Linked DNA regions of Notamacropus eugenii. The protein of the gene in region 1 purifies or fractionates together with the protein of each later gene. This does not show direct contact. Links are inferred from orthologs where the notes say so. Each region holds a gene or a part of one and is shown on either strand. Other genes may lie near its edges.

Region 1 (7,578 bases):
CTGTCACTTTCAGGAAGGTTTTAAGAATATTCCACTTTATGTCTGGGCTCATTTCAAAGTATGTTGCGCTAAAAAACTTTACAAAGCATGTGCCTGGGCTGAAGGAGCATTAGCAAAGGAAGAAGGGGTCTCTCAGGACTTGTCCTTTTAAATAAAAGATATCTTCTTTAATATCTTCTCTTTTCAGTAGCTTTGAAATTACTATCTGGAGCAAAAGGCAAACCTCACTGCGGGTGGAAAAACGAAAACTTCTTGGCGGTGTAAGGGGGAGGGGCAGCGAGGGAAAAGGGAATCCCAGTGATTCAATACAGAAGTGTAAGTTCTAGGCTAAGTGTAAGTATTACAACCAATTTCCAAAGAAATCGTTTTGCTTTCAGGTACAAATGAGTGGCAATTCCCCTACTGAACTCACCCAGCTGGAGCTGTTCGCAAGTCCGGTTAGGGTTCTCTCCAATCTTGCATCTGAAAACTGCACCGGGGTTGACCACTGAAGCGTTGGTTTGCCAGTTGGCGGTAGGGGCTCCCACCACAAGCCTAGCTCATGGAACACACACGCAGGCGCAAAAACAGAAATGGTAAAAGATCATCCCACACATTTTGCTAGGCAAAATCGGGGGTGGGGGTGGGGGTGGGAGAAGCACACAGCTCTACAACTCCGAACTTTTGACTCACGACTCAGGGTACAGCAACCCACTTTCTAGGCTCTTAATAGGCTCTCCTTAACGCTTGTTGATTGACTGGCTCCCCACCCTGCCCAGTGTACTCGCTTCTTAAGATGCCCAATGTGCTTACCTCCTACGGTACCCAAATTAAGCGAGGTTTCTACAGAACCACTCACTCCTCCCCCACCCCCGCCTCTGGGCGCTTCAACTTCAAGAAAAGTTTACTCCTAGCCAAATTCATCAGGGAACCGCCTGTCAACGGCCCTGGCACTGCAGGATGTCTGGCACTTCTGAGCGCTTTCCTCCTTTGAGAGAAAAAAGTTTGAAGCGGGGAGTCACTTCAAGGAGCGGGTTTTAAAGCCTCTCCGCAAATGGGAAACCCTGAGACATTTGCACTCACCATCTGTTGTCCCCATGGCCGTGCAAGACGACCGAATAGCCAAACAGGGTCCCTTTGGGTCCGTTAAAGAGCAGCGGGTTTTCCGTGTCCAAGTTGTAGGGATGGATCCTTGGAATCCGGTGGCAGAGAAGGATAATCACCGCCTTCCAGATGACCACTCCTGGGGGCCCAGCCTTTCCACTTTCTTTCCAAGCCATTCTCTCCCTGTCCGGGACATCCAACAAGCCGCACACAGCTCAGAAGTTGTGCTCGAATGAGCAGATAACAGCGCCCCAAGATACCGCGTGTCTCCCTACGGCTCCTCGCCACCAGGCACACAGACTGGCTGGCAGGGGTGAGGGGGGAGGCGGAGGAGGAGGAAGTTCACGGCGGGCGGAGCGTCCTCAACCGCCGTAGGTTACTTGGGCTTTTGGATTCCTCCCGCCCAGTTTCTGTATCGAGAAGTTTGGGGGCTCCCGCCTTGACTGGTTGACAGGACTGGGTGGGTCCAGGGGTGTGGTAGGGAGTTGGAGCGGTGTGAGGCCGCGAGTCCCCGCTAGTCCACGGGCCCAAGGCCAGACTGGCTGCAGAGGGCGCTAGGAGATCTCCGTAGGTCCAGATGTTCCACGCACCCAGCTGCTCTGCCTTCCTATCAGATGGGGATGCTTAGACTTAGATCTGGATCGCAGGGGGAACGAGAGAAGTTGAATCCCGGGGAGAGTTTTGTTTTTCTCCTTCTGCGAAGAACTTCTACTGCGTACAAAGCCTGCCCAGCTTTGCTGTTTCTAGAAACCCAAAGATTGGGATAGAAATTCCGCCTCTTCCAATGAATAATTCTCTAGAAATTCTTTTCTTCAGGAGTGAGCAGCAAGTCCAAAGGAAGGCGAACGGGGAAACGGAGAGGGAGGATTCACACAGGTACCAAAAAGCAAACAGCAACGTTTCTGAGAACAATGCTTGATGTTAAAAAAAATACCCACTATTTACCTTAATACACCCACTCCCATTTCCGTACCCCTCACTTACACTTCCCTCTTAGGCCAGTCAGTGGTGTTGGGGTGGTGGGGGGAACACTGAGTGGCAAATGCTGCCTATTGAAAACTTTAATCAAGAGTGGAGCTCTCTAGACAAGTTGTCAGGGTTGAACTTTCTAACTTCGCAAAGCTGAAAACAGAGTCCTGCCTAGGATTGCCTAGGCACATGTCTTTCTAAATATCATCCACCACTAAGTTATAGGAATCCAGTTTAAATACCCTGCTACTGGGCCTCCAAATAGACCTGACTTAACTTACTCTTGTCTTCAGAAGAACAGATTCTGTTCAGGAACAGGATTGTGAAATCTTCATCGGTCAATGAAGAACAGCTCCAGAAGTGATGAAAATTATATATTTGTCCACTTTCCACTTATTTGTCAGTTGCCATATCAATAAGATTTGAATGTGAAATCTTCACCAAAGCAGTGCAAAAGAAGACTTCCTCAATTTGTTTATTTGGTGGTATAAGTATAAATGATCAGGTTGAGTGAGTATAAATTGTCAAATTAAACAAACCTGCAAATTAGTTCTTTTTCTCTGAATGAAGATGAACTGATACAAATATGTGATCTCATAAATTTTTATTTGTTTTGAATAGTCCTGCCAGCCCCATATTGATTTAGAAAATCATAAATTAACATTATCTATACTTTATTGTAGTTTTTATTTATTTCATTAAACATTTCTCAATTACATTTAATCTAGTTTGGACTCTGGCTTGGGAAGCATGTTGACATCTTTGGTGTGGGAAATATGTAAGAAAATTTATCCTCCAATCTTTTCTGTTTTTGAATTAATCCAGGTGCCAATCCCATCTTTGTTCTTCAAGTAAAGCCATGATTTCCTAAAATTGCAGGACTTTTCAACATGAGGTCCTTCAGCTGAAGGCATCTGCAGTCCAGAGGTGCCAGATCTATTTTCACAGCCTGAAGTTTTATACATTCTGAGCCACTGTGTTGACCTCTGTATTTCTTGTTTTTCTCCCTTTTATAAAACCTCAGTGAAATAAAATCTACTTAACAAAACTCATCTTGCAGTATAGATAAGATGACATACGTTACTTAGGTTAGGATTTAGAAGGGTGGTTCCCTGCTTCCGACTTTCCCCAGAAAACAGATGGATTTAACTAGGTCCAGGTGATCTGCTGCCTTGTTATGTGAATAACTTTGCTACCCTGCTGACAGATGGGAGTAGGGCGTCTCCAAGGCCACCATCAAGATTTCGTAAGCACATTCTTTCCTTCTTCCTACATTAGCTCATGAAGTGGTACAGAGATTCCCCTCCTCCATCTAACCCTTTCTTCCCCAAATCAGGTTAGGTAGAAAAGGTAAATGGGAGAAGACATGAACAATTTATGAAACTGTGGGTTCACTTTCAGATATGACTTTTTAACATGCAAGCCATGCAAGAAATAGATGCTCTCCCTACCCACCCCACCTTTTCCCCTTCCTGGCTGAACTCTGACACCCTGATTCCCAATTCTTATGGAGGAAATCCAGAGCTATTGGCTGGGGCCCCACACCAGTTTTCAGGCTCTCTCTCTCTCTACTTCTCAAAGGTGGTAACATCTAGAAGTCACCCTGGAACAGACCACCCTAGTTACGTTTCCCCTACCTTGCCAGGCAGATAAGGTCCCTTAGATGAGCAGAAAGTCATCAATTACAATACTTCCTATAAGATAGAAGACAACCACAGAGTGGACAGAACACTTGACTTAGAGTCAGCAAAAGTCTTAGTTGGATCATGCCTCAGATACTTAATAACTGTTATGCTGGTCTAGCTATTTAATTTCTCTCAGTCTCAGTTCCCTCATCTGTAGAATGGATATAATAATACCCGCACCTATCTTACAGGATTGTTGTGAGGATCAAATGGGATAATAATGTAAAGCACTTTTCAAGACTTAAAATGCTACATAAATGCTGGTTGTTACTATTATTGCCATCAACCCTTCCACTATGTCCTCTGGAAATCTGTCAGGCCAATGCACTTTAAAGATTCCTAGGTCTTTACGTTGGCCACACAGCTGATATATGTTGTCTCACCCAATTAGAATGTGACTTTCTTGAGACAAGGGAGGGGCTGGCTTTTCTATTTGCATCTCCAGCACTTAGCACAGAGCTTGGCATATAATAAGCCCTTGAAAACTATTTTTCCTTCATTCACTCACCTAGGAACTGTCAGTGTGTATAACAGCAGAAGTTTTGCTAATAGAAGCACCAGGCCTGACGTAACCTTTCTAGCAATTTAGAAAATTAACTCAGTCTTTCCAATCTTAGAATATCATAAATTTAATGTGATCCCTACAAAGATCTGAGAATGGCTCCTTTTAGCCTTATTAATGGTAGCAAGATAGAAGCAGATCTGCTGAAGTCTTCCTTTAGAAAGATACCCAAGGAATGCATTTAGAAGCCATGACTGCCTCTCATAGCTTTTTAGGGGATGAGGATCTGGCTCTGGTACAATGAGATATTTGAGCTCTTTCCTAAGTAATTTCTCCTACACTTTGTGGTTTGGGAATTCCTTATTACTGCAGTCAGAGAGCTGAAAGAAGATTCATTAGCTACTAAACAGTGTCACTGTTCATTTCTGCGTATTGGTCTATATTTGTTAGGGTCACTCATCCTTTTGACAAATATTTGCTGTGATTGTTGCTGTGGATGGGTTAAAGAGACATGGACTGTACATTCCCTTGAGGAGTTTGTATTCAAATAAAAGATCATTAAGAGCATAGGAATTAGAGCTAGAAGGCAGCTCTGAGGTCATCTAGTCAGGCTCCTCAGGAGGAATGAGTGGAGAGAGCAGGGAAGACTGAAGAAATAGTTAGACAGGTAGAAAAAAAGGTGATACAGGGTGATGGAAGTCAAAAGAGGATTTTCAGAAAGGATGGAGTGGTCACATGCTAAAAAGAGTTCAAAGAGGGTGAGTAAGGAGTATTTTGAAGGACATTTGGGATCTATAAATATTTTCAGTGGGATGGAGAGTGGACAGTAAGTTTTTGAGAGGTGAAGAAGTCAGTGGATGTTCAAGAAGTGGAGATGATACGAATTGGCTAATAATTCAAGAAGACTGGTGGTGACTGTAGCTCAAGAGGTTAAGAGACTCAAAGAAAGTTTGTTTTGCATTATAGTATAAGGGATACCTAAGCAGTGATACAGAAGATGCACAAGAGAAAAGGGCTGAGTAAGGGACCACCATTCTAGAGAAGGAAAGATAAGACAGGGCAGGTTAAGAGCAACAGTAGAGAGTAGAGAGGTTGGTCTTGAAATGATCAGGTGCATGAGCACACACCCACACTCACACACACCCCTTTTCTTTTAAAACACAGGGGAAGGAGAAGATGGGCAAAGATACAAAGAAAAATTAAATTGGATAGAAGGGAGTAAGGATGAGATGTATTGAAACAAAGAGGAAATAAGCTGAAGGAGCTTAAACCTTGTGACCCCATCTTTTCAGTAAAATACCAGGCAAGATCAACTGCTAATAGAGGGAGTAATGAGAAATATTTGACAATTGATCCTCCTGGAAATCTTCTAATCACTCAAGAAGAAATGGATAAAAGGAGATACACACACATATACACACACAACACACATATATATGTATATACACATACACAAACATATACAGATTCATGTATGTATATGTATATATGCATATGTATCTATACAATATTATGTCATACAATAGGATATATGTCATGCAATGTGGTAAAGTGATTATATCCTCATGCTACAGCAATCTTATTTTGTTTCCTTCCCTCTTCCCTCTGACCTTGCCATCTGGACTCCCTGGAAGAGACAGGAACAAGCACTGACTAAGGAATACATGGAGTTGTGTAGATACCATCACTCCTGTTGGCCAGAAGCTATGGTACCTTGGAGAGGAAATGAACAGAAGCTAAGACATCTGGATAAGTTCACATCCCAAAGCCTAGATGAAAGTTATTGAAGGTGAAGAACTATGAGAGCAAGCTACTAAAGTCACCAAAAGCACTAACAGAAAAGACAGTGAAGAGGAAGTCTGTGAACCATGGTTATGTAAAAGAACCAGGCTCTCATACCCAAGGAGATGCTTTTGTTTTAATTTTCTTTTCAGATAATTTTGCATTTCGTAAGTCAGGTGTAAATACTAAACTTAATTCTTTCATTCAACAAATATCAATATTCAAATGTGTATATATTTACATGAAATAACATTCAAAGCAGAGTCCCTGGTGACTTCTGATGGCCAAGGCTCTGTGACTTTTGCAAAGAACATTCTGGGGTTGGGGAGAAGGGAAGGAAGAAGGAGGGGCTCAGGCAGAATATTCTCAGAGACTTCCTCATCCCCATTTGCAGAAGTCCCTGATTCTGGAGAAGAGACAAAAGGAGCTCAGCTAGACTCACACATTCAGAAGATGCAAAGGACAAAGGCATTATAACTCCCCTCATACCATTCACAGGAGTGCAGAAATATCATAATTAAAGCATATATACCTGGGTGGGTAGGTGGGATGGGAGGTGAGAGCGGCAATGATTGGTATCTAGCCAAGCTAGTGAATCTAATCTGGAGTTTCCTTTATTGCATTCTCAAACCCAAAAGCTATTCAACACACAGAAATCAGGACAGGTTTTCCCATAATAAATTAGAGCCTTCCCTCTCTCTGACCTTGGGCAGGTTTTTCATCTCTTCAGATCTCAGTTTCTCTTTCTATTAAGTGAAGGGGTTGGACAGAATGACTTCTATGGCCCCTTCCAATTCTGACATTCAGTTATATTCAGTTTCCCTTAAGTACCCAAGCTACACCCATCCGAAGTAAAAAATGGTGAGGTAATCATTTCATTGGGTGTGAGCCCTAATTTCAGTAGCTATACATTAGTGAAAGATTCTCAGAGTAAGTCTTCTCCCTTCCCCAACTATAGTCTTTGGTTTTGTCTCTATTTTCAAACTCTGCTTTTCTCTCTTCACTAACATGCAGAGACACAACCCTTACCCTCAAGACGTTTATAATCCTAGTAGAGGGGAAAAAAAGACATTTTAATATGTTTTCATAAAAACGATAATGTCAATGTGTAACCTTTGGGACATACATAATAGAGATATCAGTAAGGTGATGTTAGAGGATTGTTTCAAGGAAGAAGATTCTTACCAGCTCCATGCAACAGGGGACACTACATCCAGGAGGTGGTATTTGAATTCAGCTTTGAAAGACTAGTGGCTTCTCAAGATGGGCCTAGATGAAAAAAACTGCAGTACCTGTTTAGATGACACTGAGTTCAGGAAGAACAATTAGAAAGCTATCTTGGAAGAACAATTGGAAGCTATCCAGAAAAAGAACTGATAAATGGAGGTACATATAATAAATAAACAGAAGTATGTATAAAATAACTAAATATAATATATATGCGAATATATGTGTGTGTGTATGTCTATGCATGTATAGACATACACACACACACCTACTTGTGTCTAATGGTAGCCATCTCTAGGGTGGGGCAGGGGAGAGGGAAGAAGAAAAGGA
Region 2 (7,873 bases), on another chromosome or scaffold:
AGTTGCCTCTGTAAAATAATCTACCATTCTAGGAACACAGAAATGGAACTACTTTTTTGATTCAGCATTGGTAATTTTTAAGGACCAAGATTAACTATAAGGGAAGGGAATGAAGAAATCTACCTGATTATTAAAATGATTATTCATAGTTGTTAATTCTCATGTTATTTCTAATGTACTAAACTTTTTAAGGGAAAATATGGCAAGGGAAATCCAAAGGGTCTATTCTGAAAAAAAACAACTCTTGTTTTCATCTTTGTAAAGTACTAATATTTCTATAGAAACAAGCCTGGTGATTGTTTTTTATAAGTCAAACAAATGTATTCTACATTTCTAAGTGAAATTAAAATTATTTTTTGCTTTTCTATCTACCACTTTACTTTCCAACAGAACCAAACATTTCTATATGTTTAAATCTTACAAAAATCAGCTTAATTAGGATCCTAAAAAATGTCCTAAGAGCACAGTAAAAAATGTTTTTATAACAATCATACTTGTCAACTTGACACTTTAAACACACACTTAAGTGTTCTTTTAAAATTATTTAAGTGGCCAAAATTTTGAAGACTTAAGAAGCTGAGCTAGGAACCAGGAGACCTATCTCTTCCATAAACTAGCTATGTGACTTTGGGCAACTCATTTAACTTCTCTGGCTCTCAACTTCTTCCTTTTATAAAATAAGCCTGGATTGCCTGATCTTTAAGATACCTTCCAGTTTTGTGTTCTTACATTTTGTGCACATCCTATCTCATTTTACCCTTCATTTCCCAGTAGATGACAAACTTCTTAAAGCTGAGGACTGCCTTGAGCATTCCCAGTGCCTACAAGTGTCAGGGTTAATACTTCCTGTTTCTGTGGAATATAATTAAATATTGCAGAGACCAGGTCACACTGAAAATCCCTTAGAAATATATCACTTTGTCTTGGAACACAAAAGACACTAACAATCCCAGTAATTCCCTCCCACTCAAAAATCAGTTTGCAAAATGAAGCATTACATTTTATACAGTATCTACATTTTACTCAGGAAAACTTCACTATTTATGCTAGAATTACTTTAATATTAAAAGAAACTGATACACTAAAAGTTCCTAAGCATGATTAGGAAGTCAAAAAAAAAGGTGCCAAATTTTGTGACTTTTTAGTGTCCAATTCTGAGTGTGATACAATGACAATAAATGAATAGACTACACACTGAGAATACAATAAGCAGTTTCCAATTTTAATGAATTTATAATCTATCTGGGGGGATGAGATAAAAGTTGTATACAAATAAGATCATAGTATACCATAAAGCTAAAAGGAACTTTAGAGATCAGATAGTCCAATTTAATTTTATAGATGAAGCAATTGTGGCCCAAGTAACACAACCAGTCTGTAGCAGAGGTACGTTTCCCTACTCCCAAACAACACAGAACATATAGCCCTAGGGCTGGGCCAGCCTTGTCCTCAGGAAGACCTGCTGTTCAAGCCCAGCAATTGCAGGCAGGCCACTTAACAGGCCCACAGAACACTTCAGATGGTAAGTTCAGAGAAGCTGCTGATCTGCTTCAATAGAGGGTGTCCCCACGCTGATGAAGTTACAGCCCAGAACCAAAACAAAACTGAGCACTGTGAAAACCCTGAGTATAGCGATCTATTATTGGGACAAAGGTATGCATTTAAATATTCACTGTCTGTAGTTCAGCAAAGTTTGTGTTCTTACGCATAAAAACCTAAGGAATTTGGGGAAAATATCCAAAGTTCTCGGTTATATTCATGTTCCTTACCTACCAACTTTTTACGCTTCAGGTTTCGTCCCGTACCCATTACATCCATGCCCACACACACTTAGGGGCCATGGTAAAAAAAAAAAAAAAATTAAAAATACAGCACCGGGAATCTTAAGGGGGAATACAACGCCACCTCAACACTGGTATTTTCTAGGCTGAAGGACTTTTTAAATCATAAAAGTAAGAGACAATGGAAAATACAGAAAGAAGGTCTAGGGCTACTTCAACTCCAAAGTCAAGTTCACGTCCATACCCAGCGCGCACAAAGTCCACGGGGCGCCGGCCTCTCCTAAGCCTGGCCCCAAGTCCCAGGGGTGACCACAGAACATCTCCAGAAGTGACAGGCCGCAATGCCACCCAATGCCACCCAACCCCGGCCGGCCTGGAGAGCCAGCTGGGCACAAGTCCGTCCGTGCGTCCGTCCACTCGGGGCCACTGGCAGAGCGGCTCCAAGCCCCAGGAGGGCTCTGGTCCAAGGGGAGCAGAAGGGGAGGAAGAGGAAGAAGAAAGGGCAGGGAGGTGATGGGGCGCTCGGGGAGAAAGAGGGGCGGGTGGGAGAGGGGAAAAGACACGGGCAAGGGGGAGAAACAGAGGGAAAGAGAGATAGAGGGGAAAGAGAGAGGGAAAGAGGGATAAAGTGGGGGAGAAGTGAAGGGAAAGAGGGATAAAGAGGGGGAGAAGTGAAGGGAAAGAGGGATAAAGAGGGGGAGAAGTGAAGGCAAAGAGGGAGCTCAAGGGAGGGCTCGAGGAGAAAAGGTTGCAAGGATGGAAGGCGGAGGAAGGGCCGGCAGCAAAGTGGGGGAGGGCCGCGGCCGGAGCGGGGGAGGGGAGCGCGGGCGGAGGCCGAGTCGGAGGCGCCGAGGGCAGGACGAGCCGGACCCGGCGTACCCCCGGCTCTCCTCCCGGCCCCGAGGCAAGAATTCCTTGCCTTAAGCGGAGGCGGCCCGGCGGCCCCACCCCCACGGCGGACGCCCGCTCCCTCCCGACACAAAGAGCGGGGCCGGGCCGGGGCTGCCTCTCCCTGGGTCCGGTGCGGGCCGCCACGCGCGCCCCGAGCCCCGCCGCCCCCCGCCACGGGCTTCCGCTCACCTCGCCGCCGTCCGCGCGGGGCTCTGTGGGGCGCGCACGCTCGGGCGGCGGGCCGCGTGCTCTGGGCCCGGCCTGGCTCTGTCGCTGCCGCGGCCGCTCCGAGATACTTTCCCGGCTCTCCCGGAGGGCGGGCAGGCGGTGGCAGCGGCTCGGGCTCCGGCTCCAGCTCCTCCTCCGGGGTGGGAGGAGGGGCGAGTCACTCCCTCGGCCTCCTCCCCTTCAGGAAGGTGGCGCGGGGCCCCGCCCCCCGGCCACCGCCCTCCTTCTCCAGCTAGCCAATCCGCATTGTCCTCCCGCCTCTCTCCTGTCCCCTTTCCCGTCGCTGCCTCCTCCGCTCCCCCCTCCCCACGCGGACCCAGCCCCGCATTCCCTCCGGAAACGCATTCCTCCCGGGCCGCGTCAGCCGCTCCGCCGGCGGCTGAGGGAGAGGACGAGGAGGAGTCGACGGGGGAGGGCGGACCGAGGAAGTGGCGGGAGGGCCTGCGGGGAGCGGCCCGCGGCCTCGGGCCCCCAGCCTCAGTTTCCCTGTCTGTCAAAGTCGGCCAGGCTCCCGTCGCGAGAGGGGCTCCGGCGGGTGCCCAACGCCCGCCCTTCCCAGCCCGGGCCGGCGGCGCCCCCTCCGGCCCAGGCGGGCCCCAGGCCCAGGCCGAGCCTCCCTCGCCTCCGGGTCACCGTCTGGATTGGGAGATAGCCGGGCCGAGGGTCTGGAGCTAAAGACTGGAGAGGAAAATAAAGGCTGTGGTCTGGGCTAGACCGAGACCCCTCCGGGCCCCTCCGCAGCCAGAGTGGGGAAACTGAGGCCGGAGGCCGCCGCCGCCCCCAGCCCCCTCCCAGGCCAGCCTGGACTGAGCTGCTTTCGTGCCGTATCGCCCCTCCGCCCTCCCGTCGGAATGGACACTTCTGGGAGCAGCCACTGCTTCCCTTCTTTGCGCCACGGAAGCCCTAATAAATACTTGTTGATTGATTGGCCCCCCGGAAAGAGGAGGTTTGGATCCCTGTCACTCCGGTCCAATTTTCCCCTCCCAGGTCGAAGAAATATTTTAAAACAGGTTTATTAAAAAAAAAAAAAAAAAAAGGAGAAGAAATAGTACTCATTGTGAGAGTTTTTGCATAGGCAGGGTGCTTTTTAGATAAAAGGACTCGAAACTGAATACCCAGGTCATACAGAAACCCAGTTAGTTACTCAAAGCCTACTGCCTGGGCACCATACCATCTTGTGGCACTGAAAATTTGGCTGTTTGGAAAGTTGTGGCTTTGGGCGAAGGGCATCCTGAACTGTAGACTTGAAGCTTAAAGATCTTATTTCTGATGGAAAGAGGAGGGCAGGAATACGCTTGGCAACCCAGTTTGAACCAAACCTATAAGGAAATATAGCTGTATTTGCTTAGATGCATCAAAAGATGAAAATTTTACTTAACACTGGTAGAGTGAAATCTACTTCTTTGCCCTCATGAGGTGAGAATTACTTTTTCTACTTGAAATTAGCATTGGTAAAATGGATGTAGCTCTACACCTGGCATTAGAAAAGATATAGGTTAAAACCTTAGGTCTAATAAGTACCAATGGTGCAAATTCATTTGATCTTTCCAAGCAGCAGTTTTTTCCCCCATAAAAATGGAGAGACTTCTCTTGAGGAACAATGAGATAATGTGTTACAAAGTGGTTTGCAAGCCTTAACTTTATAAATGTCAGTTATTATTAGAAGAGAATAAATGGCATTTGAAAATATATGTCCTACTGGTAAAGCCACAGAGAACATAGATCCTTGGATTTGAAGAGGATTGTATCGTTACACAAAATTAGCAACACCTGTAACAGCAGAGGAAAACCTTATGGTTTATTCAATTATCAAACTGGAATTAAACCTTTTAGCTTGGCGTGTTAAAAAAACAAACTTGTATTCTTGCTCAGCTGACATGTGATATTCAACTACAGTGTTTGATTTAATTGGTGTTCAATTAAAAATTGGAAACTATGTACTTATGTTCAGCCTCAGGTTAGTTATTGTTGCTATTTGACAATTTGATTTAAATTTCTCTGTAACTGTTTCTTGAATGTCAGGTGACGTTTCAGAACCTAAAAGATTTTCATCTTTCAGAGTTGAGTAAAATATCACTTAATGTTGGCAAAACAATTATCTAGTGCTATACATATATATATACATATATGTAATATATGTATGTATGTATATATATTGTGTTCAACTGGATGTTACAATTGATCTATTAACAGCATGTTACTAAATATGGTGCCCCTTCAACTACTTACGTACTTTTGATTCAAGTAACCATTTTTAGTGCCTACTATGTATAACGTCGAGGACCAAAAGACAAATATGTGAAAGTCCTTGGCTTAAAGGGACTGCTGTGGAGATACAACATGTACATAAATAGTCTAGGACAAAGAAAACCATGGAGGAAAACTGTAACAACCTAAGGCAATCAGACAATCAATAATGAAGGGGGAGGTGGCGCCTTAGCTGAGCTGTGGAGGAAAGAAGACCGATTCTGAGAAGGGAAACTGAGAAATGTACAGACCAGATATGGAGAAGAACATGGTAAGAATGAATAATGTACCAGAAAGTTGGAGAATTCAAGGAACAGAAACTTCTTGAAGGGGAGTAGTATGAAGCTGTAATGTTAATTAGAGAGCTAAAGATCTTCCCCAGCGATTGATGGGCCTGCCCATTAAGGAAAGCTTGATTAGGGGAGGCCCACCCCTTTTGTTACTTTCTATTGAGGCACTGGGTTAGAAGGTGCTGTCCTCTGGCTCTGAAAAATGTATAAATACTTTGAGGAGAGGTTTTGTTTTGGGGCTTACTCATTGAAAGTGTTTGGCCAGACAAGACTCTGGGCAGCCTCTAAGGAGCCCCCCGGCTTTGAAAACCCAGATGCTGGTGCTTCTCTGTCTAGTAACTAAGTATGTATGGTCAGACAGTTGGATCTCTCTGTTGATCTGTGTTGTATGTATTGCTTACAGTCTGTCAGTTGGAAGCCCTGCCTGCTGATTATTATTTCTTTGTATTTTCTCTGAAGGTCAGAGAGCTGACTTTTCCCCCTGAACTAAGTGAATGATTCATGTGCTTGATTAAAGTGATTGTTGTCCCCTCAAAAGTTGCTTTGCTTTTAGAAAAGCAGGTCTAAGAACTTATACAGCAGATCCTCCTGTGTATGCCAGGGTCCTTGCTGTTACAGAAGCAAAGCTAGAAAAGTTGGTGGAAATCAGATTGTGGAGGGTCTTAAATGCCAAACTAAGGAATTTATATTTTCTTCTAAGGCAATGAGGAGCTACTAGAGATTTTTGAGCGGCATGGTCAGTTGTATTTTAAGATCATTTTAGCAGCTATGTTTAGGATGGATTGAAGGAAGAGACACTAGAATCCTGGAGACCAGTTAGGAGGATATTGCAGTAGTCCAGTGAAGAGGTAATGAGGTTCCAGATTAGAATAGTGAGTCTGTAGGTGGAGAGAAGGGTACCGACAGAAGAGATTTTGTGTAGCTAGAAGCAATAGGCACTTGTTAAATTCTAGGCACTCTGAATACAAAGACAAAGAAGAAACGGTCCTTGTTATCTGACAAAAAAGAGTTTCCCTTCTGTAGGGTGGGAGACTATGTAGACAGATAAGCATATACAAAGTAATTTTGGAGGGAAGAGCACCCACTAGAGCAGGGAGCAGGAAGACAGGATCAGGAAAGGCCTCAGAGGGGGGAGCGCTTCATCAGAACTTTGAAGGGAGTTCAGGTCTTTAACAGGAAGAAATATAGTACAACTTTGTATAAAGGCAAGGCTACAGGGTGCAGCTGATTTGGCAATAGACTGAATATGAAGGAGATGGAAGGATCAAAGAAGGTTATGTGGTTAGAATTTGGGTGACTGAGAGTATGTTTCCTCAACAGAAAGAAGGAAGTTTGGAGGGGTAATAGGTTTGGGAAGGAGTGAAATATATTCTACTTCGGACCTGTTGATTCTGAGATAAATACAGGACATCCAAGAGAAGATATCTAGCAGGAAGTTCAGGGGAGAGATTAAGACTGGATATTTATACTCGGTAGTTATTTGCGTCCTTGAAAACTGTTGAGATCTCTAAGAGAATTTATATTTGCTTTTCTATGCAAATATTGGTTTGTGTGAGTAGATGTCTTTATTTACTGAAACCCAGACAGGCATGTATATGTATGCTGCTGTGCTTCATACAATAATTCTGCTGCCCCGTGGTCAGTAGTTCATACCCTTTATGCATTTTTTGTCCAGAAATGGTGGATGGATTTTAACTCGGGTTCTCCAATGCATTCGCAAGATATTTGATGAGGAATGCTGAGTATGGTGTTAGAACTGTAAGATACTAATACATAATCTGATTGATGCTTACAATAGCACTGTGGAGTAGGTAGTACAAATATTATTATACCCGCTTTATAAAGGACAAACTGAAGTTATTAAAGGTTAAGTGATTTGCTCAAAGTTACATGGCTATCATGTGGCAGACAAGGCTGGAACACCAAGTCTTTTTTTTAATCATTAAATTTTATTTTCAGGAAGATCTATCTTTTCTCCCACCTTTCTCCTCACTCCTGATTAAAAAGGCAGCAAAAAACAAACAAACAAAAAAGCCCCAAACCTCCTCTTACAAACTTGTACAGTCAAGCAAAACAAATTCTCTCCTTGGCCATGTCCCCCCAAAATAGGTCTCAGTCTGTGCCGAGTCCTCTCTATCAGGAGGCAAGTAGCGTATTTCATCATGATTGCTCTGGAACTGTGATTAGTTATTGTTTTGATCAGGGTTCCTAAATTTTTCAGAGTTGTTTGTCTATACAGTATTATTGTTTTTATATAAATAGTTCTCCTGGGTTCTTCTCATTTCACTCTGAATCAATTCATGCAAGTCTTCCCAAATTTCTTTGAAATCATTCCCTTCATAATTTCTTATAGTACAATAGGTTTCTAGCACAATTATATACTATAATTTGTTTGGCCATTCTCCAATTGATGGGCATCCTCTTGAACCTGGTTCT

What was found. The genes of interacting proteins can lie anywhere in the genome.
Region 2: the proteins of ITGA4 (region 1) and ITGB1 purify together in Homo sapiens (co-immunoprecipitation; 4 studies listed by BioGRID and IntAct, with this or other methods). This does not show direct contact. The link is inferred for Notamacropus eugenii from reciprocal best matches to the Homo sapiens genes ITGA4 and ITGB1.

Annotation. Positions count from the first base shown.
Region 1 is NC_092876.1:245,621,423-245,629,000, reverse strand, and holds the start of ITGA4 (integrin alpha-4), read right to left. Parts: upstream 3,095-7,578; 5' UTR 1,260-3,094; coding exon 1,063-1,259; intron 535-1,062; coding exon 413-534; intron 1-412. UniProt on the Homo sapiens protein: Integrins alpha-4/beta-1 (VLA-4) and alpha-4/beta-7 are receptors for fibronectin. They recognize one or more domains within the alternatively spliced CS-1 and CS-5 regions of fibronectin. They are also receptors for VCAM1.
Region 2 is NC_092874.1:72,860,964-72,868,836, forward strand, and holds the start of ITGB1 (integrin beta-1), read right to left. Parts: upstream 3,070-7,873; 5' UTR 2,862-3,069; intron 1-2,861.